Linked DNA regions of Pelodiscus sinensis. The protein of the gene in region 1 interacts with the protein of each later gene in a pairwise test. Links are inferred from orthologs where the notes say so. Each region holds a gene or a part of one and is shown on either strand. Other genes may lie near its edges. The genes, in order: THAP1, AP2B1, METTL13 and RBM10.

What was found.
Region 2: the proteins of THAP1 (region 1) and AP2B1 interact in binary tests that used the Homo sapiens proteins (3 or more experiments, as listed by UniProt). The two-hybrid records come from large-scale screens. The link is inferred for Pelodiscus sinensis from reciprocal best matches to the Homo sapiens genes THAP1 and AP2B1.
Region 3: the proteins of THAP1 (region 1) and METTL13 interact in binary tests that used the Homo sapiens proteins (3 or more experiments, as listed by UniProt). The two-hybrid records come from large-scale screens. The link is inferred for Pelodiscus sinensis from reciprocal best matches to the Homo sapiens genes THAP1 and METTL13.
Region 4: the proteins of THAP1 (region 1) and RBM10 interact in binary tests that used the Homo sapiens proteins (3 or more experiments, as listed by UniProt). The two-hybrid records come from large-scale screens. The link is inferred for Pelodiscus sinensis from reciprocal best matches to the Homo sapiens genes THAP1 and RBM10.

The regions. Positions count from the first base shown.
Region 1 is NC_134716.1:3,815,893-3,823,517, reverse strand, and holds the start of THAP1 (THAP domain-containing protein 1), read left to right. Parts: upstream 1-4,618; 5' UTR 4,619-4,769; coding exon 4,770-4,840; intron 4,841-5,626; coding exon 5,627-5,828; intron 5,829-7,490; coding exon 7,491-7,625. Other genes in the region: transcription factor JunD-like, read right to left, coding at 620-1,792. UniProt on the Homo sapiens protein: DNA-binding transcription regulator that regulates endothelial cell proliferation and G1/S cell-cycle progression.
Region 2 is NC_134731.1:17,019,982-17,027,863, reverse strand, and holds the start of AP2B1 (AP-2 complex subunit beta), read left to right. Parts: upstream 1-4,870; 5' UTR 4,871-5,044; intron 5,045-7,882. Other genes in the region: PEX12 (peroxisome assembly protein 12), read right to left, coding at 639-1,038, 1,802-2,355, 4,397-4,522. UniProt on the Homo sapiens protein: Component of the adaptor protein complex 2 (AP-2). Adaptor protein complexes function in protein transport via transport vesicles in different membrane traffic pathways.
Region 3 is NC_134719.1:64,089,471-64,096,909, reverse strand, and holds the start of METTL13 (eEF1A lysine and N-terminal methyltransferase), read right to left. Parts: upstream 3,010-7,439; 5' UTR 2,965-3,009; coding exon 2,812-2,964; intron 1,490-2,811; coding exon 736-1,489; intron 1-735. Other genes in the region: VAMP4 (vesicle-associated membrane protein 4), read left to right, coding at 7,418-7,439. UniProt on the Homo sapiens protein: Dual methyltransferase that catalyzes methylation of elongation factor 1-alpha (EEF1A1 and EEF1A2) at two different positions, and is therefore involved in the regulation of mRNA translation.
Region 4 is NW_027465846.1:58,698-66,220, reverse strand, and holds the start of RBM10 (RNA-binding protein 10), read left to right. Parts: upstream 1-4,512; 5' UTR 4,513-4,670; intron 4,671-7,523. Other genes in the region: NDUFB11 (NADH dehydrogenase [ubiquinone] 1 beta subcomplex subunit 11, mitochondrial), read right to left, coding at 3,415-3,603. UniProt on the Homo sapiens protein: Binds to ssRNA containing the consensus sequence 5'-AGGUAA-3'. May be involved in post-transcriptional processing, most probably in mRNA splicing. Binds to RNA homopolymers, with a preference for poly(G) and poly(U) and little for poly(A).

The DNA.
Region 1 (7,625 bases):
TTTATCAATGCCCCATGTTTGCACTGGCACAAGAAATAATATGGAGCTTATGATAAGAGTATTTTCTTACAGCTGAACCTGTCATTAAATAGGATTCCTTCTAACCTAAGTTGTGTGGCAGAATCTCTCTCAGCGAAGGCTAGATTTAAAACTAGGCCCATTCAAGTGCTTTACTCGCAGGGCTTCCCTATCAGCTGCAAATGAAAAGCTGCTCTGCAGCAATACAATCTTAAAAAATTCCTTTCACTGCTAAGAAAGAAATACACTGCCACATTTTGTTTTATACACACACACACAGACACACACTTTTTTTAAAAAAAAAAAATGTAGAATTTGAGCTTTTTCAAGCTGGGAATAGACAACTCTGAATCAAGCCCCGCTCCAGGGGGGTTAGAAAGAACGCCTCTAGCAGGGAAATAAAGTGGACTCTTTGTGTAAACAGCGATTCTTTCAGTCCTGGGAAAGCTGCACGGCGCGCACACCAGCCCCTTGCCTGGGAACTAGCCGCGCTCAGCCGGCGTGGCGCGCAGCGTGGCTCCCCCTCGCCTTCCTTCCAGCAGCTATGGGGAGCCCGTCAGTCTCGCATCCTCCCAGGCACCTCGGGGAAGGCGGGCGGGCTTCAGCAGGCGCTGGTCTGCGGCGCGGCGGGCTCGGGCGGGCCCTCGGGCGGCGCGGCGGGCGGCCCGGCGGCGGCGCTGATGTGGCAGCCGCTGGAGAGGTGGCTGCGCACGCGGCCCTGCAGCTGGCTGACCTGGGCGCGCAGCAGGCTGGCGGTGGCGGCCAGCTCGGCGTTCTGCCCCTTGAGCGCCTTCACCTTCTCCTCCAGCCGCGCGATGCGCTCCAGCTTGCGCCGCCGGCACTTGGAGGCCGCGATGCGGTTGCGCAGCCGCTTGCGCTCGGCCTTCAGCCGCTCCTGGCTCTCGGCGTCCAGCGGCGACAGCGAGGGCGGCGTCGGGGCGCCGCTGCCGGCCTCGCCCGGCGGGGCCGCCTCGGGCACAGTCTGCGGCTCCTCCAGGGCCCTGGCGGCGCCGGGCACGGGCAGGCGGCCCAGCCCCGGCGGCGGGGCGGGCGAGAAGGGCAGGCCGGGCGGCGGGGCGGCCGAGTAGGAGCCCGCCGGGCTGAGCGGCCCGGCCGGGTTGAAGCTGCCGAGGTTGGTGTAGACGGCGGGCGGGTCGCTGGGCGGGCGGGCCGGGCCGCAGGGCGCCGGGGAGAGCGGCGCCGCCAGCAGCTGGTTCTGCTTGTGCAGGTCGGCCAGGGCCTTGACGAAGCCGTCGGCGAAGCCCTCCTGCTCCTGCGTCACCGGCTGCCGGTAGAGGAAGGGCCCGGCCGCGGGGGGCGGCGCCGGCGGGGCGGCGCAGGGGCTGGCGGGGCCCAGGCCCGGGCCGCCCTGGATCAGCAGCTGCTCTAGGTCCGCCGCGGGCGGCAGCTTCAGCAGCGGCAGCTCCGCCGAGGACCCGGCCGCCAGCAGAGCCGCTTCCGGGCCGCCCCTGCCGCCGGCTCCTCCCCCCGCGGCCGAGCCCGGGGGCGCCGCGGCGGGGCTGAGCCTGAGCGCGGCGGGGCTGCGGGCGCTGCCGCCGGGCGGCCGGAGCGGGAAGGAGCCCGGCAGCGCCAGGGGGCCCGCCAGCTCCCGCTTCTTACCGGCCCCGAGCAGCAGCTTGTGCCCCGCCGCCTCCTGCCCGGGGCCGCCGAAGCCGGGCAGCGGGACGAAGTCGGGCAGCAGCTCCAGCCCCTCCTCGGGGTAGAACGGGGCCTCCATCTTCACCGCCGCCCGGCCGCTGCGGCCGCCGCTCATCCTGCCCGCCCGCCCGGCCAGGGGGCCCGCCCCGCCTCCGGCCGCAGCGGGAGCAAGGGGAGCCCCCGCGGGGGCTGCGGGAGCGTGCGCTCGCCGGGGGCGTCTGGGGGGCCCTCCGCCCGCCGCAGCCCTGCGCCCGGGGGTCCGCGATGGAGGTGGCGGGGGCCGGGCTCACCCCTGGCAGGCGGGTCGGCTCCCCCCGGGGGCAGCGGCAGCCTCCTCCGCCGCCCAGGGCTCCGCGCCTTCGGCTTGTGGCATTTACCGAAACTCCTACAGGGGAACTGATGTCAAACCCCCTCCCAGCGGCAGCGCCGCCTTCGCGCCCGCTCTCCCCGCCCCTCCGCCGGCCGCGGCGCGCTCTCCCTCCCGCCTGGGCATGGGAGCGCACACGGCTCCGCGCTGGCAGCTGCCCACACGCCCGCCCACGCTCCCTCGCTGCGGGCTGCACAGCGACGCCAGCTGGGAAAAGGGGCTGGGTCAGAGCGCTGCCCCTTGCCGCGAGCGGAGACTGTGTGCGGGCTGGGGTGGGGTCGCGCCCCATCGCCTTCGCGCCCCGCACAGGCTGGGGCGTGAGTCCCTGCCTGTAACGCGCACCTTTCCAAACTCCGTAGCCTGCCTCTGAGCCCGTCTGCATCCCTCTAGAGTCCCAAGGAGAAACCCAAGGAACAGACCGACCCACGGCCAGTGGCGGGGGACCGTAGGGCTGAAATAATCGCCCCCATCTGACTTTCTTTGCAGAGAGTACGCCAAGGAAACGCGCAGGTTGCATAATTAAGCGCTGAAACATCAGGACGTGCCAGATTAAAATTTTCATCTGCCACCATAACTCTGCCTGTTGCCCTCACACCGACTTTAATTACCTGCTTTGTTGTGTCTCAACACAGCCTCTCAGATTTCCACTAACCTTGCAAAGGGCATTTTGGAAAGTTTATAGGGAATGAGGCAGTGCAGTGCAGCTGCACTCCCCTAGCAGATCAGGTAAAGTGTACAGTGAAACAGGCTAAGGCGGTGCAGAATACCTAGCCTTAGCCAGTGTGTATATTGTATGCAACTGACCGATGAATTCTTTACTATACTCAGGGTACAACAAAATATAGCAGAAAATGCTAAATGTGTGTTCAAGGTTGTGTTTAGTGGGGAAGTAGGTACTTTTGAGCTGTAGGAAAACGGTGTCCTCAGTTACTAGGATGGGGAGGGGAGTTACCATTAGTTACAATCTCTATTTAAAATTCCTTGGGTCAGGGGGACTGATGTGGCCCTGACCAAACTGTTGATAGCTCCTTGTGAGCCACTGTTTACCATCCTTAGCTGGCTGAATGAATGAACCTCAAGTCTTTGTGACCCACCCATTTAATATTAGGGATGTAAAATTCCATTAAAAATGTTAACCAAGTTAAACTACATGTTTAATTAACTGACCTGTGACTGGGAGGGTGGGGGGCATTGGAGCAGCTCCCCATCCATGGCAGGGCATGGTGGGCCCAGCCATGGATAGAGGGCTGCTCCCGGCCAGGTGGGGTGCAGGTTAACCAGTTTTCCTTGTAAGCAGGCTAGTTAGGCAGTGCTTTACATCTCTAATTAATATACCAATTCTTTATTTCCCTATGATCCACGGACCCCTACCACCAGAAATCCCTCCTTCCTTGCTTCCCATCACATTTCCTCTATTCATTGGGCTTCTTGGCATAGTTCATTGCTTTTGGCCTAGAGGAGGCTGGCTGGTTGAGCGTCTCCGTAGCCACACGGCTTACATTGCCACACATCTCTGGGGTGTTTGACTATGCTGCTGTACCTCTCCTCCCACTGTTCAGTCCTGAAAAAGTATGGATGGGTGGGGGGGAAGGAGGAACTGAAAGACAGGAACAGTGGTGGGTAACCTGTGGCCCAATGGGGTTCTGTGTGTGGCCCACAACAAATTTTAGTGTTGCCCATGGCAAGATTGCCAGATTCAGCTGTTTTCTGTGGGCATAAGTTGTCCCCCTGCTCCTATGTATTACTAAAATGATATGCACAGGTATTCACTGTCTTTTTTCTCCCCTTTTTCCCCTCCTCCCCCTCCCTTATTTATTCTTGGATCTGGACTTTCAATACTCCAGTCATCTGAAGAAGTGAGCCCATGAAAGCTCATGATACAATCGACATGTTTTGTTAGTCGTTAAGGTTTAGACTTACAGACTATGCATTTACGTTTTTTTTATGCATGGGTAGGTGAAGCGAGGTGTGCGCAGTTGCATGCACTGACTGTGAAAGCCCTGCACACCCACTGCATCCAATCAAAGTGCTGCTAGAGTCCACTTGGCACACCCCACAAATTCTAGGTAGACAAGTGCAGTTACCAAAATCTCCCCTATCTTGGGAGACCAGGTGGATTACAACAAATCTGCAGCGCACTCAGCTGAAGGAGGGCCGCTCATGCAGCCGGGTCAGGAGCCTAGGCTGCCCCTCCCTGGGCAAGAAGGAGCCCTGGCCTGCCTGATCTTTCCCACCTCACCCAGGGCAGAGAGCAGCCCTAGTAGCTGCAGGGGAAGGGGCAGAATTTCTGGCCAAAGGCACTGGAGCGAGACTCCGCAGCAATGAAGCAGTCTGGACACCGCCTGCTGGCGCACGCTGGAAGCACAGGGACCCTGCTATCCAGATGTGTGAGCGAAGGGAGGCGGGGCAAAGGATAAGGCGGAAGCTGGGCGAATGGGGCCCCGCGCCACACGCGGAGCCTCGACGCCTATTGGTGGGCTGCGCGAAAAGGCTCCACCCTCGCGGAGGGGAACGGCCAATGGAGGCGAGCGAGGCACTGGTATCGCGAGAGTTCACCTGAAGCTGGCACCGCCATCTTGAAGTCGGGAGAGGCCGTGTCCCCTTTCTGCTCCTAGGGGCTAATAGAAAAGGGATGGGGGTCGGGCGGTAACTGGCGGTCGCCCGAGTCCTTGCACTCGGCCCCGGCGTGCTCCGGAGCGGGGCAGGCGGCCGCCGCCGGGGGAGAATGGTGCAGTCCTGCTCCGCCTACCGCTGCCGGAACCGATACGACAAAGAGAAGCCTATCTCCTTCCACAAGTGAGGACAGGGCCGGAGCGCGCCTGCGCGGGGCGGGAGCGCGCCTCGGCGGGAAGGGCCCCCGGGGGGGGGGCGGGGAGTAACTGTCACTGGCGAGCAGCCCAGAGCGCGTGCGCACCGGCTGCGGGGCGGCACGCGCGCACCCATAAGGGGGCGGGGCTGCGTGGGCACGTGGGACCCGTCGGGCGGGGGAAAGGCAGGAGGGAGGGGCCGCTGGGAGGCTGCCCCGCCCCCTCCTGCGAGCCTGGTCCGGCCCGCGGGCCGGTTGCCCGGGCCTGTTGTCCGGCCCGCGGGCCAATGAGGGGCAGGGCTGGCCCATCTGCCCCCAGGCCTGGCTTCAGCTGCCTGCTGGGCTCGGTGTGCGCCTGGCAAAGCCCATGAGCCGGCCTGGCAGTGACCATGCCCCTCCGAGTCCGCCCGCTCCCTGTCCAGGCCTCCTGGCCACTTGTGCCTTGGCCAGCCCCACGGCAGCACCTGCTTGTCAGTTCCCCCGAACCGTGCAAAACCCTGTTCTGCCTGCGGACACTGGCCCCTTGCGCCCCCCCATTGCGCCCCTATGCCCGCCGTAGGTGTATGCGCTGGCAAACCCAGCCAGGGCGCTGAATGTCGCAGGGCCAGCAGGCTGCCTCTCTGATCCCTGTTTGTACAGCAGCTAGCACCGGGCTCCTTGGCCCCGCCATGCCGACCAACCCTGAGTGCTGCACCCGTGCCTTTTGTATGCCTGCAGTGCTGTCGCTTTTCCTTAGAAAGCGGTTCAGTGGCGCTGAAAGTCCATCTCGTTTGCAGGTTTCCTCTCACCAGACCTGACCTCTGCAAGAAATGGGAAGCTGCTGTTAAAAGAAAAAATTTCAAGCCCACAAAGTATAGCAGTATTTGTTCAGAGCACTTCACTCCCGATTGCTTTAAAAGAGAGTGCAATAACAAGCTACTGAAGGAAAATGCTGTGCCCACGATATTTTGTTACACTGAACCCAGTGAGAAGATAAAGGTAACGTGAAAACTTTTTCTTATAATACTTTAATTTTTGTTACTCAAATACTGCAATATATGCATTTTTTTAATACAGAGAAGGGAGAAGAACCGTGTTAAGGAGATCTGGATTTTGTCTGCCCCTTTGTGTTTTTGCATATTAAACAGAGAGCAGGACAACTTTGAAGGGTCTAGAGGAGAGAGCGGCCAACTAGGTTAGTGAGTAGGCCCAATGAGTGACCCTCCTGCATCTCAGTGGGCCATGAGATTGTTGTAACCAAGATGGTCTTCCAGGATAGGGTAGTTTTGCTAACAGTGTTTGTGTACCTGACTGGTCCCGAACAAGGGAGTTTGCCAGACCAGGGGAGATCAATTCCAGCCTCTTGGCCTCGGCTCTCCCATGGGGTTGCCAGCCTCCCAGCTGGGCTCCCTTCCTGACCCTGCCAGCCCAGCTCTGCTGCCAGCTGCCAAGTTCCTGGTTGCTGGACTCTCAGTGGGCCCCAGCCATCAAGGCCCTCTGGTCCAGCAACATCCATGGTCCTGCCAGACCATGGATGTTGCTGGACCAGGGAGGTTCAACCTATATATGCAAAACGACAGGTGTAGGTGAGATACAGCTCATGTAGATGTCCTTTTTGGGTGATATTTCTGAAGTATTGTCCCATTCATGCATCATTGTGGAATTTTAAAACAAATTGATACATTTAACAGTAATATGTCAGCAGGGCCAAATGACATTTACTCAGAATGTCTGAAGGAATTCAGAAAAGAAATGCAGAACTACTAACTATAGTATGTAACTGCTGAAAAAGCCTATGTACCAGATGACTGGAGGATATTTAAAACAGACTCCGGAGGCAATCCTGACAAGTAAAGGCTGTTCAGCCTACCTTTGCTACCAGGCAAACTGGTAGAAATCATAGTAAATAACAGAATTACCAAGTGCATAGATAAACATGATTTGTTGGGGAAGAGTCAACATGGATTTTGTAAAGGAAAGTTATGCTTCAATCTATTAGAATTGGTTGAGGGGGTCAACAAGCATCTGTGAAAGGACGTCTTGGGTGGTTTAGTGTATTTGAATTTTCTGAAAGCCTTTGGCAAGATGCCTCACTAAAGGATTTTAAGGAAATGAACTAGTCCTGGAATAACAGGTCGGTTATGGATCAATAACTGGCTAAAAGATAAGAAATAAAGAGTAGAAATAAATGGTCCATTTTTGCAACAGAGAGAGGTTTCGTCAAAGAGCTGTGCTGTTCAACATATTCATTCATGATCTAGAAAAGGGACTGAATGGTGAAATGACAACATTTGCAAATGCAAAATATTCCTGCAAAATAGTTATGTTCAAAGCTGGCTGCAAAGTGTTACATAGGGATCTCCAAAAACTGGGCAGCAAAATGGGAGACAAAATGCAATACTGCTGTGTGCACAGAGATGTACATTGGAAAAATAATTCCACCTATACATGTATGATGGGATATCTAATTGAGTTGTTAACACCTGAGAGAGAGTTCTTGGAATCATTTTGGATGGTTCTCAGAAAACTTTAATGAAGAAGTTCTTAGCTGTTTTTGCTAGTAATGGATATGCTTATTGTTGTTTACAGACTACAATCTGGTGATTAGATGGCCTATTCCCAAAACAGATTAAAATGTACTTTTTCTCTTGCTGTTTGTAGACTGAAGAATTTACAGAGCAACCTGAAGATCTGTCTGCAGTACCACCACCCCCTCCACCACCACCTCCTTTGCTACCACCTGCTCCACCACCATCTTCCTTTCCTGCGTCTCAAATAGATGCAAGATTTGTAGAT
Region 2 (7,882 bases), on another chromosome or scaffold:
AGCAGTGGTTTAAACCTTAAGTGGAATGAATCTTAGTATCATGCTAAATAGGCAGAGAGGACCAGCTTTACTACATCAGCAGTTACTAGCAGATTTAAGGATACATTCAGCAAAGTAAATCTGAATCAGGGTAGTTTCCAATTTTAATCTGGCTTCAGCCACATACTGAATAAACCCAATTGAGACAGAACGGAGTCTGCTTGCTCCTGTTAGCATTGCCTGGCTTGCTAACTTCACCTGAGCCATCCAAGGGGAGATTTGCAGGGGAGAAACGGGACAGCTTAACCTGACTGGTAGGTACAGCCCTGTTCTGTAAAAGCTCTCTTGTGAATGCCAAGATGAAGTAGTCTTAGGAATGTAGGAAGTGCCAGGCTGGACCCAAGCAGAGCTTCATTTAGGCCTGTATCTGTCTATGATAGTGGTTTGTACTAGAGCCTTCTGGTTGAATTTGCCAACCTCGCCCTAGCATCTCAGACTTGGATAGAGCCTGATTGCTCTGCTAATAGACTGTCACTGTGCCCTTTGCTGCTCTAGCAATGTTAGACACAGTCCGGCTGGCTGAAAAGGTGTGCTCAAGAAGCTAGAGAGTGTGCAGTGCTTGAACCCGTTAGGGATCTGCTTTGTAAGTATCAGTGCAGTCAACTTTCAGGGGAGTACAGTTTGACTAGGTGCTGCAACTCTGTAGCATAGCCCGTGATGGGGCACCTTTGGTGACTCTTGACATACGTGTAGACACAGCGATAACAAAATACAAAGCCGGACGTGGAAAGGACTGTATCGTTGGCTCGGATTTTGTGGCACAACGGGCACACGGTCTTAAGTGCTGGCAAGAGGGGTGAGCGTATGCCATGATCCAGGTGCACAGGTGGCGGAGGAGTAGGCAATGCAGTCAAGGATTTGATGGTCTCCTGGTTCTCAGATGAGTACCACCAGTCCAGAAACTGCAGGAAGAACACACCCACGGAGAGGCCGGTGGACAGGGATAAGGCAATACCTCCCAATGCTTTTTTCACTGTGGATTGCACTTGCTCCTTAATGCTGCAGAAGGGAGTAAGATACAGATAGACAATTAGCATTCCACCTTGTCACCTGCCTGCAAACTACAGTGCTGACAGACAATAGTTTCAGAGGCAATTCCCAGCTCTACAAATCAAAGAGGCTTCAGGGCTAGTCACCTACTGCTTTTTTTTTTTTTAAGGGGGGGGGGGGAAAGCTTGTTACATGTTCCTGATGTTTACAATGTTATTTAGAATCGGAAACAAAAAACAGGTATTTCAGGTATGTGTAATTTGCTCTTTGATCACAGCCTGCATGAAATGTGGAAAGTTGGCTGAGGCCCAGTAGTTCTTAGTGGGAAGGAGCGGGATTGGGCTACAAAGGAATTCACTCATGGGTTGTTGTTTCAAAGCAGGCTGAGGCTGGGAGTGTTCACAACTCAGTGCCTTCTGTGCAGGATTTCTGTAGAAACAGAATTGCTAATCCCAGTCCAGTAATGGACAATTTACCACCCAAGTGGGTAGGTACGCCCATCTCAGAAGGGCTCCCAAGGACTGAATAGGTTCACAGAGACTGAACCCATGCAAGTTAAGGCAGATTTGCTACTGGGTACCTCTGATGTTTGACTTTGTTTCCCTTCTGCTCAATGTGGCCTTCTTTGAACACGTTTCAAAATTATAGGAGCTCTCTTTGATCCCCGTACACTGAGACAGTTTTGTGCTATAGAACCATCTGGGTATAGAACGACAGCTCCAAATAGTCCCACATAGAATTCTAAACTGTACATGGCTCCTTTGAAACTTACCTGCATGCTACCTGCTGGCCTGCAGTTGCTTCTGCTAGTTTCTGCTCCAGTGCCTGGATGTCCTCTGCTGTCAACCTAACCAGACGCACACCAGCCAGGCCCAGCAGTGGGGAATGATGCTGAGCCTTCCCAAGAAGGTAGCACAACTGCTGGCTGAGAAACCAGCCCTCCCAGGCCATGTTTACAAAGGGATAGGCAGCTAAAAAGGCCCTGTAAAAGCGCTTCCAAGCTGATGATGGAGGATGGATGGAATATTCATCCTCTTCCCTCAGACTGGAGACCAATTTCTCCAACTTTGTTTTCAGGTAGGGAATGAGAACCAACAAGAGGAGAGACTTCCAGTGTTGCTTCTTTGGTAGCCCAGCACTGGCCAACTGCTGCAGCCCCTTTCTGTCTCGCAATGGTATCCTCTTTAGGCCATAGAAGTTTTCTGAAAAAGAGGCACTACACTTGGTGAGAAAATGCTGCTGGAGCAACAGATCCAGGAGGGCGTAGATCTCATCGAACCAATGCCAGAGGAAGCCGTAGCAGCCGGGATTGGATTCAGCAAGCACCTAGCATAAGTGGAACAGGGAAGGAAGCAGTGTCAAAGGGCAACTCAGTTAAAGCAATTCTGGTCTATGTATCCAGTATAAGAAACAGACTGGAGCAGTGATCAGAATAAAACACTGGCTAGTAGAACTTTGGTCCTTTGGAAAATTAAATCATTCAGTTTGTTACCAGTATACAACTGGCAACATGGTATCAATGTGTGCAGCCAGCTTAAAAACTGGTTCCCCCCCAGCACCGTCTCCATGGGGAGAAGAGGCAGGGACACAGCGGAGAAGTGGCAGCACTTCCGCCTTTGAAATGTAGCAGGACTCTTGCTCCATTTCAAAAGTAGAAGCACTACGGGGAGAGCTGGGGACTCAAAACAGTCCCCTGTTGGCCCCACACTTCTGGCACTTTGCTTTTGAAATGTACAAGAGCTATTCAATTAGTTGATTAATCTAAATCAACATAGTGAGTAAAGGGCATTTCTCCGGGGACACATTCCCCAATAATGAAAGTGTGTCTCCTACAATTATCTGACTGCATATGTATCCTCACTGAAACAGGGTCTCAAAAGCACCGTGTATATTTGTGTTTTCTCTCCAGGATCATTTGTTCAGAATAGATGCCTTGGTACTTCATGTCTGGAACTAAACTAGCATTATCGGCAACAGTCAGAAGAACTTCGACCTGGGCACTAATCCCGCATGTGCTAGAGAAAGAGGCAGTCTAAACTAGGGATGTAAAAGTGTAAATGACTAACAGGTTAACTGAGCGGTTAACGGTGTTGGTTACACTCAGCCTCCCAGGCAGGCGGCTTTGCTACAGCAAGGGCTGCCGGCTCTGCTCCTGGGAAGCCTCTTCCCTTGTTGCTGGGGAGGCTGTAGCCTGGTTAACCATGTAACTGCTGAAAAAAATCTCAGCAGTTTTTGAAAAATGTACATTACATTGTTACATGATTTTAAATATCCCTTGTCTAGACACAAAACTTGGAGCCAAGACCTGAGCACCAGTCAGTCCTACTTCTGCTTTTGTCTTCATCTGTTTCTTTGGCAAGCCACCTAACTTCACTGCTTGATTGTCATTTGGAGAGAACGTTTCACTCCCTCACAGGATTGTTGTGAAGACAAGTTTATGTTTGTACAGTGGTCTGAACACAGGAGGTGCTAATCAGTGCAGTAATTATAGGCAGTTTATCCCATGCTTTGACAGCACAAAAGAAACATCGCATACCTGCCACCCAGGGACTTGTTTTCCACACAAAGGAGCCCTTTAAGTTTCTGGGGGTCCAGAATTCTCAGCTCCTGGGCCATTATAGTATCAGCCATGGAGAGGTTACAATCTGTGCAAGGCTGAGCCAATGCATCTACTCAGGCATAGGAGTTCTGTATCCTAAAACTGCACTTTGCCTTTTTATAGCACCTTCCATTCAAGTCACTAAAGTGCTTTCCCAACATGACAAACAACTCTCAACCTCTCTGTGAGGTAAGTCTGTATTATCCCTCATTTTACAGAGAGAAAAACCAAAGCATGGAGAAATTAAGTGACTTGCCTAGGTCTCTGGAAAATCAATGTCAGAGCCAGGAAGAGGCTACAGGAGTCCTGAGACTGCTTTAACCATTAGCTTGTACCTCTCCTCCTGGATAAGGTAACTGACCCCAAGTACATGCTTGACACTGACATTAAAATTGATTCAGCTGGAACACTGTCAGTTATCTTCAGAATTATGACACAAAAGCTTTGTCTGTGCAGGATGGAGTAGAAAATCCCTGCCACAATTTGTTTCCAGTGAAAATACTGGCAAGTGTCTATCCGTAATATAACACAACTGCACCAATGTTTTATAAATGCAACTGAGCCAAATAGTCAATGAGACTTCAATTCTATATGCAAAAGCTCCTAAGTGGAGACTAAGGTACCACGTGCGCGGTGGGATACAGACATTAGGCCAAGTTAAAAGGTGTAACACCAAACTCACTTCAAGTCCTATTTTCACATTCACATTTCTCATGCTCTACCTCCTCCTCCCTAATGGGGGGCTGGGGGAGGAGGGTCCATCTTTACCTTGGCCACGTGCTGGAGTGCAGGTCTCACGGCTGACATCAAGCTGTCCTGGGCCACCACCTCAAAGATGGACGGTGTGTCATCGCTGGCGGAGGCGGCTGTGAGGTGAGCCCCGCGCTCTGCCATGGCGCCCCCGTGCAGCAGGGACTGAGAGGGGGGAGGTTTGTCCCTCTCAGCTCAAGGCAGCGGGCTGCGGGCGGGGCAGGTGCGGTGACGTGCCCCACCCTAGGGGTGCGCCGCGGGACCCGCCGTGCCCAGCAGCGCTGGGAGTCCCCGCGGCGGCGCTGAGGGGCCCTGGGCTGGCTCCTGGAGTCCCCTGGGGGAGGGGCAGCCCGGGGGCGTGCGAGTGACGTCAAACGCCCGGGGAGGGAGGCGGGGCGCGGGAGGGGGGCGATTGGGGGGGGGGTCTCCCGGCCGCACACTTACCCCGGGGCCGGGTCGCCCGGACCGGAAGTGGGAGGGGGCAAGAGGCGGCGCTCTTTGCCCACAGCCGCGTCTCTATGGCTTCGGCGGCGCGTACGCGCTAGGCGAGGGTAGAACTCTATCACCCTGAGCTGCTCCGCTTCCGGTTCCCGGCCACCGCCTCCTCCGCAGCGGTGTGAGAGTCTCGGCCGCCCCGCCCCGCCCCCGGACCGCGCCCGACGCCCGGTGAGCGGGCCCCGCCGTGGAGCAGCCCGCGGGTTTGGGGGGCTCTGAGGAGGCCGAGGGGGCGGGTCCGCAGGGCGCGGCCCCGCTGGGGGGCGGGTCCCCTTTGTCTCCAGCCCCGCTCCTGGGGGCCCGGCGCCTTGTCGGGTGTCACCGGGAGACGGGCGGGCTCCGGGTTCCCCCCCTCCCCCCGTCTGAGCCCCGGACTCTTCCCCTGGGGCCCCCTGAGGCGAGCGGCCCCGCCCCGAGGGGCCCCGGGGCCGGGCACAAGAGGAGCCCGCGCCCGCCCCGGTTCTGGGCGGTCAGGGCCGGGGTGTGGCGGGTGCGAGCCCCGCGCTGCTTGGAGGCTGTTGTGCGGGAGGGCGTGTGCCACGGGGTGAGACCCCTCTGGTTCAGTCTCCTTGTGAATTTCGGAGGCTGAAAGGAACCGCATGCGTGTGAACCAGCAGCGCGCTCAGAGCAGAGCCGAGCCCGCGGGGTATTTCCTTGTCATGTTCTTTTCTTATCTGGGGTGAGCACAGGCCTCTTGCTGCAAACCTCAAAACCATTCCCAGTTTACCTGTTTGAGCTGAGCAGGTGCTGGTTGGATACCAACTGGGTTGCAAGAGCACAAAGATGAGCTTGATCGCTCATCTTTACAGCCTCAGTCTTCTTTAAACATCCCTCAGCTCTTGCTCATAAAAATCCCTGTTTTCCATCTTGAAAAATTTTTCAACTCTCCTCTTGGTTTGATCTGTGTATTTCCTTGATGGTTATTTGAAACCATTGTCATTTGTGAATCACTGCTCTCACATTGCTCTTTGTTTCTTAGGTTTCACTTGAGACTCACTGTGCCCTATAATGGGTTTCTTAGTAAACTAGATTATACTGAGCACCAGTGGGAAATTGCCTTTGACAGCATGTCTGAAGCTAGCTCCAACATAGTGAAATACAATACTCTGCACCCTGGGGAAAGGCAGTTTTGTATTGTATTTAGAGTATTGTGGTGATGGTGCTTATTAAAATAATAGTCATAAATGTTGTTTGTAATCTGCCAAATCAGGAGGTCATTAGGACACATACTGTGACTAGATTTAAATCAGAGTTGAGTAATTTTATGAGTGCTAATGACATTTGTAACCAAGCAAGCTAAAATAATAAGGCTAATGAAATCTCGGGCTTCAGGGCATAAAGGTCTCCTGTGAAGTTTAGCAAGGCATTTTCCTCCTCTGTGTAGCATTGCGCAATTAGTTAAATGTGCATGTAACATTGTGTTACTCGCCACAGCAGTGGCTCCTGCTGGACACTCAGGCTATGTCTACACTTGCAGCTTCTTGCATGAGAAATATGCAAATGAGGCAAAGCGTGGAATATTGCCAAGCCTCATTTGCATAACTAATGAGCCACCATTTTTGCAAAAGAGGCTCTTGCGCCAGAGGGAGCTGTCTACACTGCCCCTTCTTGCGCAAGAAAAACCCACTTGCACAATGCCGTTATTCCTGAAAATAATCAGTGTAGCAGCATTGTGCAAGAAGGTTTTTCTTGCGCAAGAAGGGGCAGTGTAGACAGTTTCTTCTGGCGCAAGAGCCTCTTTTGCAAAAATGGTGGCTCATTAGGTATGCAAATGAGGCTCAGTGATATTCTACGCTTACCCTCATTTGCATATTTCTTGTGCAAGAAGCCGTGAGTGTAGACATAGCCTCAGGGATTAGCTCCTGTTGGCACTGGCGCGCCCCCTTCCAGTCGGTGTCTCACCTTCCTGTTAATCTGTTTTCCATCATGTATCTGTTCCCATGTTCCTCCCAGACTGCAGAGCCCTTTCCTCTGGGTCCTGTCTTACTGCAGTACTTCCACACTGTGGGGCCCTCCCTTCAGGGAACCCCCAAGACCCTGTGCCCACCTTGCCTCAGTGACCCACTGCCAGTTGGCATCTAGACCCTACTTCTGGGCAAACTGAAGTCTGAAATGGCCACTCATCATTGGCATGGGGGTGGACCTAATGCCTTCTGCTGCTCTGGCTCTTTCAGTCCTAGGACACTCAGGCCTTGAGAGAGAGGCCTCAGCCAGGAAGTTTGCCTGTTCAGAGCTCCCCAGCCCTGGCCTGTGTCAGGAAGCTTCTATAGCTTCCCTGGCAGCCAGGTCTCTTCTGCTCCACAGCTGGAGCAAGAGTGTGTGTCTCCTCCCCTCTAGGAGCCCTCATTTATACAGCCATAGCTGCTGGCTCCACAGCCCCAGCCCTCTTCCAAGGCTGGATTTAACCCTTCTTAGGCCAGAGCAGGGCAGGTGCCCCATCTCAGTGCATTATTGGATTTTTGACCTTGCCTTAAATAGCCAGGTATTAGCCATTATTAGAATGGCAGACTGAATCAGTGGCGGTTCTGGCCAAAATGAAAGATCCCTGTGCATAAGAAAACTACAGCATAGTGCAAGAGCTACATTAGTGCTCATAACAATGGTGTTGTGCCTGATGCTTTAGTAAGTGAAAGACAAAGTCCTCTTTCAAACTAGGCTAAGCTGTGAAGCTGCAATAGAATTGCAGCTGCAAATAGGCTGCATTTTTAATTACGAAATGAGGCTAATAGCAATTTCCTCTCTCGGAAAGCTGTGGGGATTGCTGCCAACAGTGGTAAGCTTCAGGTATTTAAATTCAGAATGGTGCCATAGCCTGGGCTTTTTGAGTATCTTTCTCCTCTGTCCCTGTCTTTAAACATTGCCGCTTGTGTTGCTGCTCCCAGACACAAAGCTAGCTTATTGGCAAGGCAGTAGCAGAACCAGCGTGAACAATCCTGATCAAGGTCATGTTGTTGTAGTTGCTGGGGTGTGAATGGATACACCTGTACGAATACCACAGGCAAGATCTGA
Region 3 (7,439 bases), on another chromosome or scaffold:
CACCACGCTGCTTTTTTGGCCAGTGGCTGGGCTCTGCCTACACACAGATGGCTTGTTTTGTTGCTCCCGAACACCAAGATTTTCAAGCCTGGATATCTAAATGTGGGGGCTCTACCGCCTTTAAAGGCGGCTTTGATAAGGGCCTCGATTTGCAGAGCTGCTGAGCAGCGCTGGCCAAGAAAGGGGACTCTTTCCGAAAAAAGGAATTGATTTTTGTTTGGAAGGGGGGGGAATTTCCCCCCACTTTGGAAAAGCCAGTCGAAAACGTGAAAGCTTGTCATGGGAAGGAATTTAAAGAAAAACTCCGTTTCGGGAGAACTGACACAAAATGTGTCCGGCTTCCTGGTGCCCTCACTTGGGACGTCTCATCCTAGCTACTGGAGAATCAGCGGGAGAAATGCTCAGTGCCCGAGAGCTGGACGGGGGAAGGAAAGGCAACCCGCCCTCTGTTTGGGTGACAGTGGCAGATCTGGGGCACTATTTCGTTTCACCGGGTTTGCTAGCCTCTGCCGACAAGCCCACGTTCAGCTGGAAAACCCCTAAGCCTCTCTTCTGAACACCCAGCAACTGCCGTGGAAACAAACAGGAGTGGTTAGGAGCCAGCATAGGTGAAAATCAGAGCCTTTTTATACCTAACCAGGGGCTTACGAGCAGAACTGTAGAGTCCTGCGGCGAAACGCTGCCCCCGCTGCCGTCGATGGGAGAGAAACGCCTTTTCGGAGGAGCTCCACTCACCGATGAAGATGGCGAAGTGATGGTCACGGGAGGCGTTCACGGAGGGGCTGTCCACCACGTGCAGCGTGTAGCGAGGCTTCCCGGTGTCCGCGTCGCACAGATCCAGGGAGACGTCGCCCGCACCGGGGGCTTTGTCCAGCTGGCTGCGCAGCAGCGCGTACATCTGCCTCTCCTTTACCGCCTCCACCAGCCGCTCCGCGCTCTCCACCCGCACGGGCTTGTCCAGCTCCTCCGTGCAGATCTCCAGGATCGGCTGCACCAAACCAGGGAGCTTCTTGCACTTGGTCATGACGTAGAGGAAAACGGGCAGCACGAACTGCTGCTGGGCCTCTCTGTCCTCGCTGCCCGCCAGCTGGTGAATGCGCACCACCCACCCCTCCTGGGAGAAGTAGCCCACCGCTTTCTTCACCACGTGGGCCTGGGCCAAGGAGACGCACAGGTAGCGGCCCCCAACCTGCAGCACCCGGCTAATCTCAGCGAACATCCTGTCCACCCTTTCGAGAGTGGCCTCCTCTTCGTCGACCAGGATGGCATCCAGGGTGCCCTTGTCCAGCACCACCTGGAAGCGGGCGTCCGGGAAGTCCATCTGCAGCATGTCCATCACCAGGAAGCTCATCTTCGGCCTCCTGTCGGCGTTGCGCTCCCTCATCTGCTTGATCACCACCTCGCTGATGTCCACGTTCACGATGTCCTGGTAGCCGACGTCATACATCTGCTCGCTCAGCTCGGAGTTGCCGCAACCCACCACGAGCACCTGGGACATGCAAAGAGAGGGTAGCTTCCCTGGGGGTCCCAACCCGCCTCACACACCATGGAGACGAGCAAACACCCGTGGGGAACGGATGCCGGGGGGGGGGGGCCTTGGGGGAGAGGAGGATCGGGGGGGGGGACATTGGGGGAGAGAGGGGGAAGGGATCCCGGGGGGGCTGCTGGGAGAAGGGAAGGGATGCTGAGGGGGCATTGGGGGAGGGAGAATCCGGGAGGGCACTGGGGGGAGGGGAAGGGGGATCCCGCTGGAGGGAAGGGAAGGGATCTCAGGGGGAAGGAGCGGTTGCAGGATCCCGGAGGAGGCGCTGGGAGGGGAGGGGGATCCCAGGGGGTATCCGGGGGGGGCGCTGGGAGGGGAGGGGGATCCCGGGGGGGGGCGCTGGGAAGGAAAGGGATGCCAGGGGGGGCGCTGGGGGAGGGAGATCCCGGGGGAGGGATCCGGGGGGGCGCTGGGGGAGGGGAGGGGGATCCCGGGGGAGGGATCCGGGAGGGCGCTGGGGGAGGGGAGGGGGATCCCGGGGGAGGGATCCGGGGGGGCGCTGGGGGAGGGGAGGGGGATCCCGGGGGAGGGATCCGGGGGGGGCGCTGGGGGAGGGGAGGGGGATCCCGGGGGGGCGCTGGGGGAGGGGAGGGGGATCCCGGGGGGGCGCGAGGGGAGGGGGATCCCGGGGGGGCGCTGGGGGAGGGGAGGGGGATCCCGGGGGGGCGCTGGGGGAGGGGAGGGGGATCCGGGGGGGGGCTGGGGGAGGGGAGGGGGATCCCGGGGGGCGCTGGGGGAGGGGAGGGGGATCCCGGGGGGGATCCCGGGGGGGCGCTGGGGGAGGGGAGGGGGATCCCGGGGGGGTCCGGGGGGGCGCTGGGGGAGAGGAGGGGGATCCGGGGGGGCGCTGGGGGAGGGGAGGGGGATCCCGGGGGGGCGCTGGGGGAGGGGAGGGGGATCCCGGGGGGGCGCTGGGGGAGGGGAGGGGGATCCCGGGGGGGATCCCGGGGGGGCGCTGGGGGAGGGGAGGGGGATCCCGGGGGGCGCTGGGGGAGGGGAGGGGGATCCCGGGGGGGTCCGGGGGGGCGCTGGGGGAGGGGAGGGGGATCCCGGGGGGGGCGCTGGGGGAGGGGAGGGGGATCCCGGGGGAGGGATCCGGGGGGGGCGCTGGGGGAGGGGAGGGGGATCCCGGGGGGGGCGCTGGGGGAGGGGAGGGGGATCCCGGGGGGGCGCTGGGGGAGGGGAGGGGGATCCCGGGGGGGGTCCGGGGGGGCGCTGGGGGAGGGGAGGGGGATCCCGGGGGGGCGCAGGGGGGGCCGGGGTCTCACCGTGTCGCGGGGGCGCGCGTAGCGGCGCAGGGCGGGGCGGAGCTGCGCGTACCCGCCGTACCACTCGAAGGCGCGCGCGCCGCGCTGGCGGAAGAAGCGCTCCCAGTAGCCGGCCGAGCCGAACTCGCGCGCGCTGCGGGGCAGCAGCGCCATGGCAGGGGGCGGGGCCTCTCCCCACGTGCGCCCGCGCCGCGCCGCGCGACCCTGGGACGTTGCGACGCTACGTCCGCGTCCGGAGCCCGCCCATTGCGGGGCGGGCGGGGCTCGGAGGCGGGGGCGGGGCCCCGGGGCGGGGCTGGGAGGCTGTGACATGAATCCATGGGCTGCAGAACCAAAGCCTCCCCAGGGGGCAGTGGCTACAGCTTCGCGCCTGCCCGAGCCTGCAGGCAGGGGGCGTGGCCATTCTCCGCTCAGCTGGGTGTTGACTCTGGACCCTAATGACATCGGGACAGGCAGCGACCAGAGGAGGCAGGAACTGCACACAAGTAGCAGCCCAGAAGAGGAAGCTGCATACCAAATGTGGTGGTCCTAGCCCTTACCATTTAGGAAGAGTTCTTGAACAAACAGACTCACAATTGGACAGACAGATGCACATTTTTAAAATACATAAGTACATTTGAACCATCCCTTAGACCACACCAGTGCAACTGCCCAAAATGTCAGTTGGGAAGAGAGAGAGCCAAATCCGAATCAGCATAGCTTGATTGATAAATTCACACCAGGTAAGGATCAGACCCATTCACACATTCAGACTAGCCAAATGTTCAACTGCTGTTTACTGAAAACAGGAGGAAAGGAGGGAAGGTTATAATGATATTGGCATAAACAGACACCCAGCATACACTGATTGGAAAGAAGCTCATATATTTAACAAAATAACAGATGGAGAATTATTAATGCCATCAAATGCCTTTGCAAGAAAACAAACAAAACAACAACAAAAACGTACGGTAGCTATATGTTAGGCTTGTTTCCTGCTTGTATAAAAACAACCCAGCTAATCAGAATCTCAAAAGAGTATTTTCCAAAAGCAGATTTACAATAGTGACAGCAGTTAGAGGCAGATCAGTTGTGGAAGGTTGTAAGTATGCGCAAAACATCCTGCTTTTCTGCACGGTTGCAACTGGTTCCGCAAACGGCAGCATTTTAAAAGCCACCCTCTGAGTCAGGAAGCCCCAGATTGGATCTTCCTTTTGGCAAGTATCGTTGTGCAGAGTTTGTGGATTTGCCGTAGGTGTGTGTGCTTTCGCTCCAAAGAGGGACTGCTTCCATCTCCTTTTTCTAAACACAGGGGCTACGTCTACACTGGCCCCTTTTCCGAAAGGGGCATGCTAATTTTACAGGTCGTAATAGGGAAATCCGCGGGGGATTTAAATATCCCCCGCGGCATTTAAATAAAAATATCCGCCGCTTTTTTCCGGCTTTTAGAAAAGCCGGAAAAGAGCGTCTACACTGGCCCCGATCCTCCGGAAAAAAGCCCTTTTCCGGAGGATCTCTTATTCCTACTTTGAAGGAATGAAGGCTGGAGAAAAGGCCCTGTAGGGGGTCTTAGAGTTCAATATGTTCTGTTCTTCTCCAAAGTAAGATTGAGAAGTGAATTGATCAGGATTTTTACACACAGAAAATGCAGGTGCCCACCGTGGAACAGTTGATCGTGGTGGAGAGATGGGGAGGTGCTGATCGGCAGAGCTACAGGCGGGCGGGAGGCATTTGGGTGCGGAAGAGGTCCGGGGGGTGGCTGGTTCGCGCCCCCCCCCCCCCCCGCCTTTCTGGAAGATGTAGGTGAGTCAGACACAAGCTAGTAGGTGCAGGTGGGTGAAAATCTGCGGCCTGCAGTATAGACTAGAATGATCCAACCATCGCTTCTGGCCTTAACATCTTTGGGGTCTAGTCACGCGGGTTGGGGGCTCGCTGATACACGTCTGAACGCCAGCGCTTCGAAGGCAAGCGCCTAATTCCCCTTGGCTTCAATGGCAGCAAGCGCCTAATTCCCCTTGGCTTCAATGGCAGTCACGCACCTAAGTGCCTTGTAGGATCTGGGCCGGGGGCATTTCCTCCCTCCCGCACTGGGACTGAACAATCGCTGTGCGTGCGGGGGGGTGCAGAGCCCCCCCCCCCGTGCTGCACCCCCGCGTGGACACGGGCCGGGACCGCGACAGCCCCGAGCGCCGCGCCGCTGCCCACGTGGGCTCCCAGCTGGCAGCGAGCCTCAGCCCCGCCCCCTCGCGCGAGTGGGCTCGAGACACGCGCGCGCCCCCCAGGGGCCAGCCCGCCGAGCGCCGGGCAGGAATCGATGGCTCGGCGCTCGGCCCGGATCGCCGAGCGCTCGATGGAGCAGCTGACTCGCAGCTGGGCCCCTCCGCGCAGCCCGGCCATTTCCCAGCCGCGGAGCGGTGAGCGGGGCCGGCAGGGGGGTTATCGGGAGGGGGCTCCGGGGGGGCAGGGCCTGGGGGCCCTTGGGGAGGGGGCTCTGTGGGGGGCAGGGCCTGGGGGCCCTTGGGGAGGGGGCTCTGTGGGGGGCAGGGCCTGGGGGCCCTGGGGGAGGGGGCTCTGTAGGGGGGGAGGGGGCCCTTGGGGAGGGGGCTCTGTGGGGGGCAGGGCCTGGGGGCCCTGGGGGAGGGGGCTCTGTGGGGGGCAGGGCCTGGGGGCCCTTGGGGAGGGGGCTCTGTGGGGGGCAGGGCCTGGGGGCCCTGGGGGAGGGGGCTCTGTGGGGGGCAGGGCCTGGGGGCCCTGGGGGAGGGGGCTCTGTAGGGGGGGAGGGGGCCCTTGGGGAGGGGGCTCTGTGGGGGGAATGGGGTGGGAATTGGGGGGGTCCTTGGAGGCCGTTCTGTGGAGAGGCTTTGGGGGTTCTGTGGGTGAAGGGCTTTGGGGGCTCCCAGCTACGTGTGCTTGCAGAGCTCTTGCCCCCTCTGCTGTTGTCTGGTGGCCCCGTGTAGACTCATGCTGCACGTGAGCTCGTCTCAGGGTCCCCTCTCCTCCCAAGCGCTGGGTTTTAGAGGGGAGTGGGGTTCGGGGGCTTCACGGGGGAGGGGTCCCAGGAGAGACCCATCGGGGAAAGCAGTTCCCTAGCACTGGGGTATCTCTCACTTCCTCCAGCCTGTGCTCATTGCCAGGGCTTCTCCTCTACCGGCCACATGATCCCTCCGATAACCCCCAGCCCAGCCCCTCGTATTCGCTGTGGTCCCTGCTTCCGGCCCAGCCAGCTGGGTGACACCCGCCCCCCCCCCACTCCTTGCCCAGGACCATTGTACCCCCCTACCCCCATCAGCTGCCTGGGTGACTTCTCCAGATTCTCTAACTTGTGCCTCTTTTGCTCCTGGCTTCGGTTGTGTCTGGACTGTTGCTCTTAACCTGTAGCGACACTCTCATCCTTCAGCACATGGGGACAGGCCCTGCCCTGCTGCGGGCTGTCTGGCTGTTTAGGGGAGCAGACAGTGCTCGCTGTGCTGGGACATTGGCTAAATTTCCTGCATTTCTGGTATTGTCACAGCCTACGGCTCTCCCTGCAATTTTCCATGTGCCCGCTCCGGGGTGGCAGGTTCCCCGGGATTGCAACGTTTCATCTCCACTGACTCCTGCAGCCGAGGAGAGTGGTGATGTTCAAACCCGCAAAGCCGTATCCAGGGTACTTGGGGTAGAAAGCCGCTTAGGATAGAACTGGGTGGCTCGGGGAGCCAGATTCTTTACCTCCTGGGTCACTGGGACACGGAGCCAGACGAGGTCAGCCCTGCAAGTGATCACTATGAAGTGGGGTGCAGTTCCTTGCTGACAGATATTTACCCAGCCCAGCTCTCCACCACCCTCGGCATCTGTGGGTCACTCCCAAAGACGCCAAGGGCAGGGGCCGTCTGTCTGGCTCAGGTGGAACGGAACACGTTGGCGGAGGAACGCTGGAGAACTTTGCATGCTGCCGTGCCTACATGAGATGGGCCTGTTCTGTAGAGAAGCAGGGTTTAACTCTTCCAACTGGGCCCCTCGTTGGCACTGACCGTAGCAAAGGGGGCAAGGTGGAAGAGAGAGAGCAGACCGCGCTTGGCCAAAATCCTGTGGGGGCTCGTCAGGTTTTATTGCTTTTCTTTCCTGGTTTAGTAACCTGTGGCTTTTTGATAAAATTGGTCGCTTTGGGGTTTTAGACCAAAGGGCTTGATAAGGGTTGTGGATCGGTTCTCCGCTGTGCTCAGAGCTGTACAAAAATGCAGAAAAACACAGTCCCAGCCCCAGTGAACTTAAACGCTTTGGCCTTGGCCCTCCGGAAACTCACATGTGGCCTGCACAGTCACATGCGTAAAGATAAGCAGGTACCGTCACGTCTCTTCAGGGTCAAAGTTTCTGAAACTAGACGGAACGACGTGATCTGTCCCTTGGGGTCCCTGAAAGCCTGGCATTGCTGGGCCGGTGGGTTGATTTTTCATTCTCTTTCCTGTGGCATTTGTCAATGGATTCTGTTTCACTGGGCTGAGTTTTAGGGAGACCGCGGCGATCGGACAGAGAATTGATCTCAGCACAATGGGCTCTGAGATGTTTTCTTCCCTCTCCCTTCTACGCAGCCTCTTCTTCCGCCACCCCCCGGTACAGACAGTCCAGGCCAGTTCTGTGAATAGGAAAGATGCCTCCAAAATTCAAGCGCC
Region 4 (7,523 bases), on another chromosome or scaffold:
GCCGGCCTGCCCCAGAGGTGGCTGCATGTCAGCCCCGGGCAGGCACGAATCCAGCCAGTCCCTTCGTCCTCACAGCCTCGCTGAAGTCCCCCTGCTAATGCAGCCGCGATGTCCCTGCAAGGGGGCCAACCTGTCCCCCCCGCCAGCCCTCCCCCCATCTCGCAAGCAGCAGCCGGATTCCCTGCCTGCTCACAAGCGGATTAACACCCAAGCCAGAGAAAGGGAGCGGGAGCCGCAAACCCACAGCTCCCTCAGGGCAAGGTCAGGTGCCGGGAAGGGAGTGAAGCCTAGTGGTTAGAGCAGGCCGGGCGGCAGCCAGGTCTCCGGGGTTCACTGGGAGGGGAGCGAGGGAGAGGCTGGGACAGGATGTCAAATCCTGGTTCATTGGTTAACTGGTTTGACGATTAACGGGGGGCCGGGGGCACTCCAGCCCCCACCCGTTGGCCATTCCCATCCCTAGCGGGGAGCCGGGGTTCTGCCCTGGCCCAGGGAAGCCTCGAGGCCCGTACGGTGCGATCCGACGCCGGATACAACAGCCAGGCCAGGAAGGTGCCAGCGAAGAGAGGGAGCTGAAAATAACCCAGCCAGGGAGGGGGCAGCCCGCCACCCCCACCAGGAGCAGGAACTTGGAGGCGCAAAGAGCCCGGTTCCCAGCTGGCGGGAGGCCCGTTAGCGCCTCAAGGACAGCCCGAGGCACACGCGAGTCACCACAGCAGCCTTCCTCTGTCCTCGGGCGCTCCCCCCTCTGGGATGCAGCCACCTCTGGGCTGAAGCAGCTGGGGACCAGCCACACAGACAGGTCTGCTGCCTGGCGCTACCCTGCCAGGGCACGTCCCACTCGTGCATCAGGGCAGCAGACCACACGGAGCTGCTGTTTCGGGAGGGGGGAAGGGAGGGACAGCAGGCCCCATGGGAGCTGAGAATCGGTCCCTGCCCACGCACCAACCTGGCCAAGCCTGGTCTGACAAGGGGAGAGGATCAGCCTGTGGGTGGCTCCCAAACCGCTGGACCCCGCTCCCCTCCCACAGCCAGGGAGAGCTCAGGAGTCCTGGCCCCAGTCACCCCTCTGCTCTAACCATTGGACCCCGCTCCCCTCCCACAGCCAGGGAGAGCCCAGGAGTCCCGGCTCCCAGTCACCCCTCTGCTCTAACCATTGGACCCCGCTCCCCTCCCACAGCCAGGGAGAGCCCAGGAGTCCTGGCCACAGTCACCCCTCTGCTCTAACCATTGGACCCCGCTCCTCTCCCACAGCCAGGGAGAGCCCAGGAGTCCCGGCTCCCAGTCACCCCTCTGCTCTAACCATTGGACCCCGCTCCTCTCCCACAGCCAGGGAGAACCCAGGAGTCCTGGCTCTGAGGCCAGCAGGTCCCAGGTGAATGCCAGAGGAAAGGGGGGAATGTGCCCCTCATTCCAGCAGCCCTCAGGGCAGAGGCCCCTGGCTCCAGCCCCTCTCCCCCCATGGCCAGGGCTAGCTGGCTCCCCTGCTGGGCACTGCCTGTGACCCACATAGCATGGGCCACACAGGATTAAGGGGGTGGGTGGGAATCTAAACAGGGAAACTGAGTTGGGGGGGGGGGCTGGCAGCCACAGCAGTGAGGGATTTAGCACCTTGGTTCCCAGAGCCTGGAGTTCTACCCCCCCCCCCCCCCCCCGATCAAGCCCAGGCACGGAGCTGCCCCCGCCAGCAGCTCTATGCCCCATGGCCAGTGAGGCAGGGCACTGAACTCCTGCGGGGCCAGGCCCGGCGCCCGGGCAGGTGGGCACAGCTGTCGGAGGCAGGCGCTGCTCCTGCGGACAGAGCCCCTGGGGAAAACCGCGAGGCCGTGCTTGGGAGCCGGCTCCAGCTCGGCGCTGGGGGGCGCCCTCCCCTGGCAGTGAAGGGAGCAGAGAGCTGGGAAGGGGCCTTTTCCCAGGCAGCGTTCCCCACCCGCCAGCGACCTTGTCTGGGCCCGGCCAAGGGCAATGCACAAAGGAGACTGGGCAGCAGCCCTGGCTTGGTCAGCCAGGGAGAGAGGGTCTGAGGCGCTGGGTTCTCAGCCCACCCCCACTGGGGCTAAGGGAGGGGACGGGCAAGGGTGGGGCTTGGGCAGGGATTCCCCCCCCCGCGTGACTGTCTCTGCCAGCAGGATGAGCCCTTTGTGCCCCCAATCACCCTGGTCTCGCCTCAACACCAATCCCTCCCATCAGCCCCATGGCGCCCTCTCCCAGCGATCTCTACCGCCCCCCAACCCACCCCAACTCCCCAATCCCGCCCTGCCCCCCCACAGAGATCCAAGCACCTGACAGGCCTCACCCCAACCACACAGATGGGAAACTGAGGCACAGACAGGTCAAGGAATGGACCCAAGGCCACACAAGGAGGCTGTTGCAAATTAGGAATTGAATCTTGGGGTCTCACAGGCAGAGTTGGAACTCTAGCCTGGAGCCCAGTACAACCCCTTCCCCCACAAATCCCCCACCTGCCTATCCCTCCATCCCATCTGCCCTACGCCCCATTCTGCACCCTCCTTCCCTCTGCACTTGCCCCCAGGCCCCACTGCACCCACCCACAACCCTGAATCCCTTCACGATGTGCTCCTTCCCCTTCCCCTTGCTCTGGGTTTCCCGAGCACCCCCACTCGCTCTGCCCCCTCCAGCCCCCCCCCACTCTAACAGCCTGCCCAAACCCCTGCCCCCTAATGCAATCCCCGGCCCCACCTTGGTCCCCCAACTTGCCCCACCCCCACACACCCTGCTCTGTACTAGGGATGTGAGCGACCAGCCACTTCCCTGCCCCTTGCTGAAAAGCCGGTTCCCCCCAGCTCCAGCTCCATGGGAGGGACGCGGTGGCGGCTCTTGTACCATGGAGCTCCGGCCAGTGTGTGTGGGGGGGGGGCTCAGAGTCCCCTGCTGGCCCCGGCTCCAGTTCATTCTTTGCAATGAGCCCTTGGAAAGAGCCGGGCGGGCTCCTGCTGCCTTTCAACCCGGAAGCGCCCTCGGCGGCTAATCGAATAGTCGATTAACTAATCGCAGAGTTGATGGAAAATCCATCGAATAGTCAGTTAGTTAATTAATCAAAATTTAACATCCCTACTCTGCACGCCCCCTCCCACCCCCAGTGCAGCCCCCTGCCCCTCCCCCTCCAGGCCCCGCCCCCTCAGCCCCCCACCTCAGTGCCGAGCCCCACCCCTCCAGGCCCCGCCCCTTCAGCTCCGAGCCCCACCCCTCCCCCTCCAGGCCCTGCCCCTTCAGCTCCGAGCCCCACCCCTCCCCCTCCAGGCCCCGCCCCTTCAGACTCTCCCACCTCAGTGCCGTGCCCCGCCCCTCCAGGCCCCGCCCCTTCAGACTCTCCCACCTCAGTGCCGTGCCCCGCCCCTCCCCCTCAGGCCCCGCCTCCTCAGACCCCCCCCGCCCCTCCAGGCCCCGCCCCCTCACCTTGCGCAGCGTCGCCATCATCAAGTCCTCCTCCTCCTCGTGCGGCTGCTGCGGGGCCCGCGCGGCGAGGGGCGGGGACACAACGGCAGCCGCGGCCCCGCCCCCCGGGCCCGACCCCGCGCGAACCCCGCGCGCCGGGAAACCCCGCAGCAGAAGCGCGCGCCGCGCACACCGCCCCAGCGCCGCCATCTCGCCCCTGCGGGGGGAAGGGCACTGACGCGCGGAACCGGAAACCCCGCCCTGCGCGGCCGCGGCACGAGGGGCCCTGGCTGGGAGCGATCTCACGCTGCGTCAGAGCACGTCACAAAGGGACCGGAGCGGAATGGGGCGGGTCGCGCGCCGGGTTAAATATCGGCCCTCGCGGACTGTACCATGGAACTCCCCCCCTCCGGACTCTACCATGTTCTGCTGGGATTGTCCCATAGCACCCCCCCCCCGGACTGTACCATTTCTTACCGGAAGGGGGGTACAGTGCAAAAGCACTTCCTCATCCCGCCCCTCCTGGTACAGTTTGCCGTCGCCTATTCCCACCCCACCCGGACTGTACCATATGATCCCCCCCTCTTTTAGCACCTCTGGACTGTACCATATTCATCCTCGGAGGAAAAAAACCCTCAGCTCCCCTGGGCGACAGTCGCAACCCCTCCCCGTTCCCCCCAGCGTGTGCATGACGTCACGGCGGGCCACAGTGACATCACGTGACGAGGTCGCTGCACACCGTCACTGCACTTTGCCTGATGGCGTCACCGCCCAACACACCCATGATAAAAAAACTCGTCGCGTCGTGACGTGGCCATGACATCATGTCCCTGCGGTCACTCGGCTGGGTCATGACCCGGCTGTTCAGTGGCCGCATAGGAAGGCGGGCCCTGTGAGCGTTCCGCCAATCGCCGATGAGCAGAGGCGGGCCCTGTGCTCGCTCCACCATTCTTATTCCTGTGGGGGGGGCGGGCCTCTGACCTTCCAGCCAATCCCCTGCCCGGGGAGGCGGGCCCTCCAGAGGTGCCGCGAGCGCTGGGAGCGACTTGCCGCGGCCCCGCGCCCACATCCGGCGCGCGCTGAGCGGCAGGCTTGCCGGCCAATGGTATCGCGGCGCCGCGACCAATAGGCGCGCGGGGGGGCGGGGCCGCGCTCGCCGCCGCCGGGACAGTCGGCAGAACTCGGCCGCTGGAGCCGCCGCCATCTTGCGCGTCGGGCGGGCGGCGGGTGCGCGAGGAGCGGTGTGTGCGGCCCGGCCCGCGGCTCCCGCCGCCCAGGTCAGCGCCGCCGCGCGGGGGGCGGGGCCGCGGCGCCTGTGGGGGGGCGGCGCTGGCAGAGAAGCAAGGGGGGGCTGGGTCTGTGGGACCGTCCGGAAACGTTGGGAGGGGGCGTGGTCTGCGGGGGTCGGGGCGGAGCGTGTCGAGATGGGGGCGTGGTCTGCGGGGGTCGGGGCGGAGCGTGTGGAGATGGGGGCGTGGTCTGTGGGGGTCGGGGCGGAGCGTGTGGAGATGGGGGCGTGGTCTGCGGGGGTCGGGGGCGGAGCGTGTCGAGATGGGGGCGTGGTTTGCGGGGGTCGTGGGCGGAGCGTGTGGAGATGGGGGCGTGGTTTGCGGGGGTCGGGGGGCGGAGCGTGGCTAGATGGGGGCGTGGTCTTCGGGGCGGAGCGTGTCGAGATGGGGGCGTGGTCTGCGGGGGTCGGGGGAGGAGCTTGTTGTGATTGGGACCTAGTCTTCGGAGTCCGTGGGGGAGGGGGAGTTGGGTCGACTTGGGGGGCGGTTGCGGAGAGAGGAGCGTGGGGGTCGCTGGGGGCTGGAAGGGGAAAGGGAGGAACTGATGAGGGGTTGGGGCAGCTGGCGGATGAACCTGCTGAGAGACGAGCCACGGAGGCGCTGGAGCACGCTGGGGGGTGGCCAGCCAGGGGGGCAGTTGGGGGTCCGGGTGCCGTCACTACAGAGCCAGCTGAGGGTGGAGGCGAAACTGGGACCGGAGGCTCCCTCGCCCCCCCATCGTGTTGCTGCTACACGGGCCCTGGCTGCGCTCGGGGTGCCCTGCCGTGCTGGGTGCTGGGCAGAGGAAAGCCTGGCACGGCTCTGGTGCCACTGAGAGGAAAAGTTGGCTTGGCTGAGGTAACGTGGCTGAGCCAGGGAGCAGCTGGGCCTGGAGACGGGGCAGAGGCAGGTGCCTAGGAGGAAGGGAAGCCCCCTCTGGCCAGCTCCCCCATGCCCTGTGTCTGCCAGGGACCAGCCCCGGATGCTGCCAAGGGAGGGGGCTTGTGCAAGAGACTCGCTTTGCACTTTTGAAGCCTTGTTGTTGGAATTGTCCCACCCTTGATTTCACCCCTGCCTCAGTGGCCCCTGGTGGCAGTGAGTTTCACAGGCTTGTTAGCTTCCTGGCACGACTGCATCTCCCTGGCATTCATCCGTCGCCGGAAGGGCCTGGTGCCGCAGGGTGGGTGCTGAGCCCTGCCTCTTAGACACTGGCAAGCAGAGGCGTCCAGTCGCTGTTGCAGAAGACCCCCCCCCGAATAGATTGGTTTGGTGGAGTTTCTGTTGCCTGTGCGGGCTCAGACCTTAGAAGTGCTGGCAGCTTTCTCCTTTGCCACGAGGTGGGGAAGGACTCCGCCATTGTCCAGCTAAAGAGGAACCGAGCACCAGAGAGAGGAACAGCCCAGAGTTCAGAGATGCTCATAGGCAGCTCCCCCAGTGCACGGTTGGGGACCCCCTTTCCAGGGGTGCCTTGGTGGCAAAGCAGATCTGTGCTGCAGGCAGGGAGCCACGGAGGAGGGAGAGACCCCCTTTCTGTCTGGCTTTGTGCCTGGCACCCTGCGCTCAGCTCCGATAGCGCGGCTCGTGGGCTAGGCGGTGTGGCGAGGATCTCGGTGGAGAATGGAGCCGTGGAGCATGTCACTAGGCCCTGAGCTGGTTCTGTAGGTGATCCCGGTTCCCATGGTGTCAGCAGAGCTGTGGGGGAAGGAGAGTTGATCCTGGGCTGTGGAGAGAACCGCGTGTACGTGCCGCACTGTGGCTGGTTTCAGAGGGACTTGGGGGCTTTGTGAGGCTTTTGCTACAGAGCGTGGAGAGACCAGCCCCAACCCGTGCTGCAGGGAACCAAGGGCAAAGCAACCAAGGGCCTGGAGATAATCGATCTGTGTGAGGGGGTGGAGCGGGGGTAGCACCCCCCCTCTGTCTTCAATCAGACTCCCCTCTCTGCAGGTGTCCAGTGAGGGCAGGAGCCACGGCCTGGCTCATGCGACTTGCTGGCATCAGAGACACAGATCACAGTGTGGGACAGCATGCTCAGCCGGCTGGGGGGTGGGGAATGGGACCTGGGGGCCTTTCCCCTCCAGGGGGTGCTAGCTCCCATCCAGCTGCAGGGCGGCTGGCTGGCTCGGGGGGCCAGGGCTCGGATCCAGCGCTCGCTGGCTGCTACCCTAACGTTACCTGCTGTTACGGAGAGAGGTTGCCTGCCCCATGGGCGCCCCTCGACGGGCTGGGGGAGTCGGTCAGGTGGGCTCTAGCACGGGTGACTGGTCCGGCGAGGAAGCCGGGAAGTAGCCGGCCTCCTACCTCCTTGGCTGCGTCGCGAGGCCGTTCCTGTCAGGACTTCTCTTCGGTGGTGGCGCTCAGCAACGGGAGGGCGTCTCGGGGAAGCAGCCGGGGCCACACTCGGACGTGAGGTGACGCCTCGCAGACCCCAGAGCGCATCATGCTCTTGCTTCCATCTCCTGCTGCTGGGAGACAGCCGAGCCGGCATGTGACGAGTCCGGGCACCTGACGGAGCCGCTAGCTCTGGGCTGTGGGGGGAGGATGTGTCAGGCTCCCAGAACCGTTCCCCTGCGTAATGCAGGCAGAGGCTCAGAAGGGCCTGTAGGAGCCAGGCCTGCAGCTAGACCTGCCGCGGGCTCCTGGACAGGCAACCCTGCGGGGGAGAGGCTGGCTGTGGTCGGGGAGCCCGGAGCGGTCTGGCTAGTGCAGAACGCGGAGGGTGTTGGGCTGAAGGTGGGTGGGGGAAGCCCCTGGGGAGGGGAGGTTTGCGGCAGTGCGAGCTCAGAGAGGTGGGGCACGGGAGGAGGATCCCAGTGCTCTGGAGAGGACAACTCGGGGTGCTCTCCATGGTCCCAGCCAGAGAGA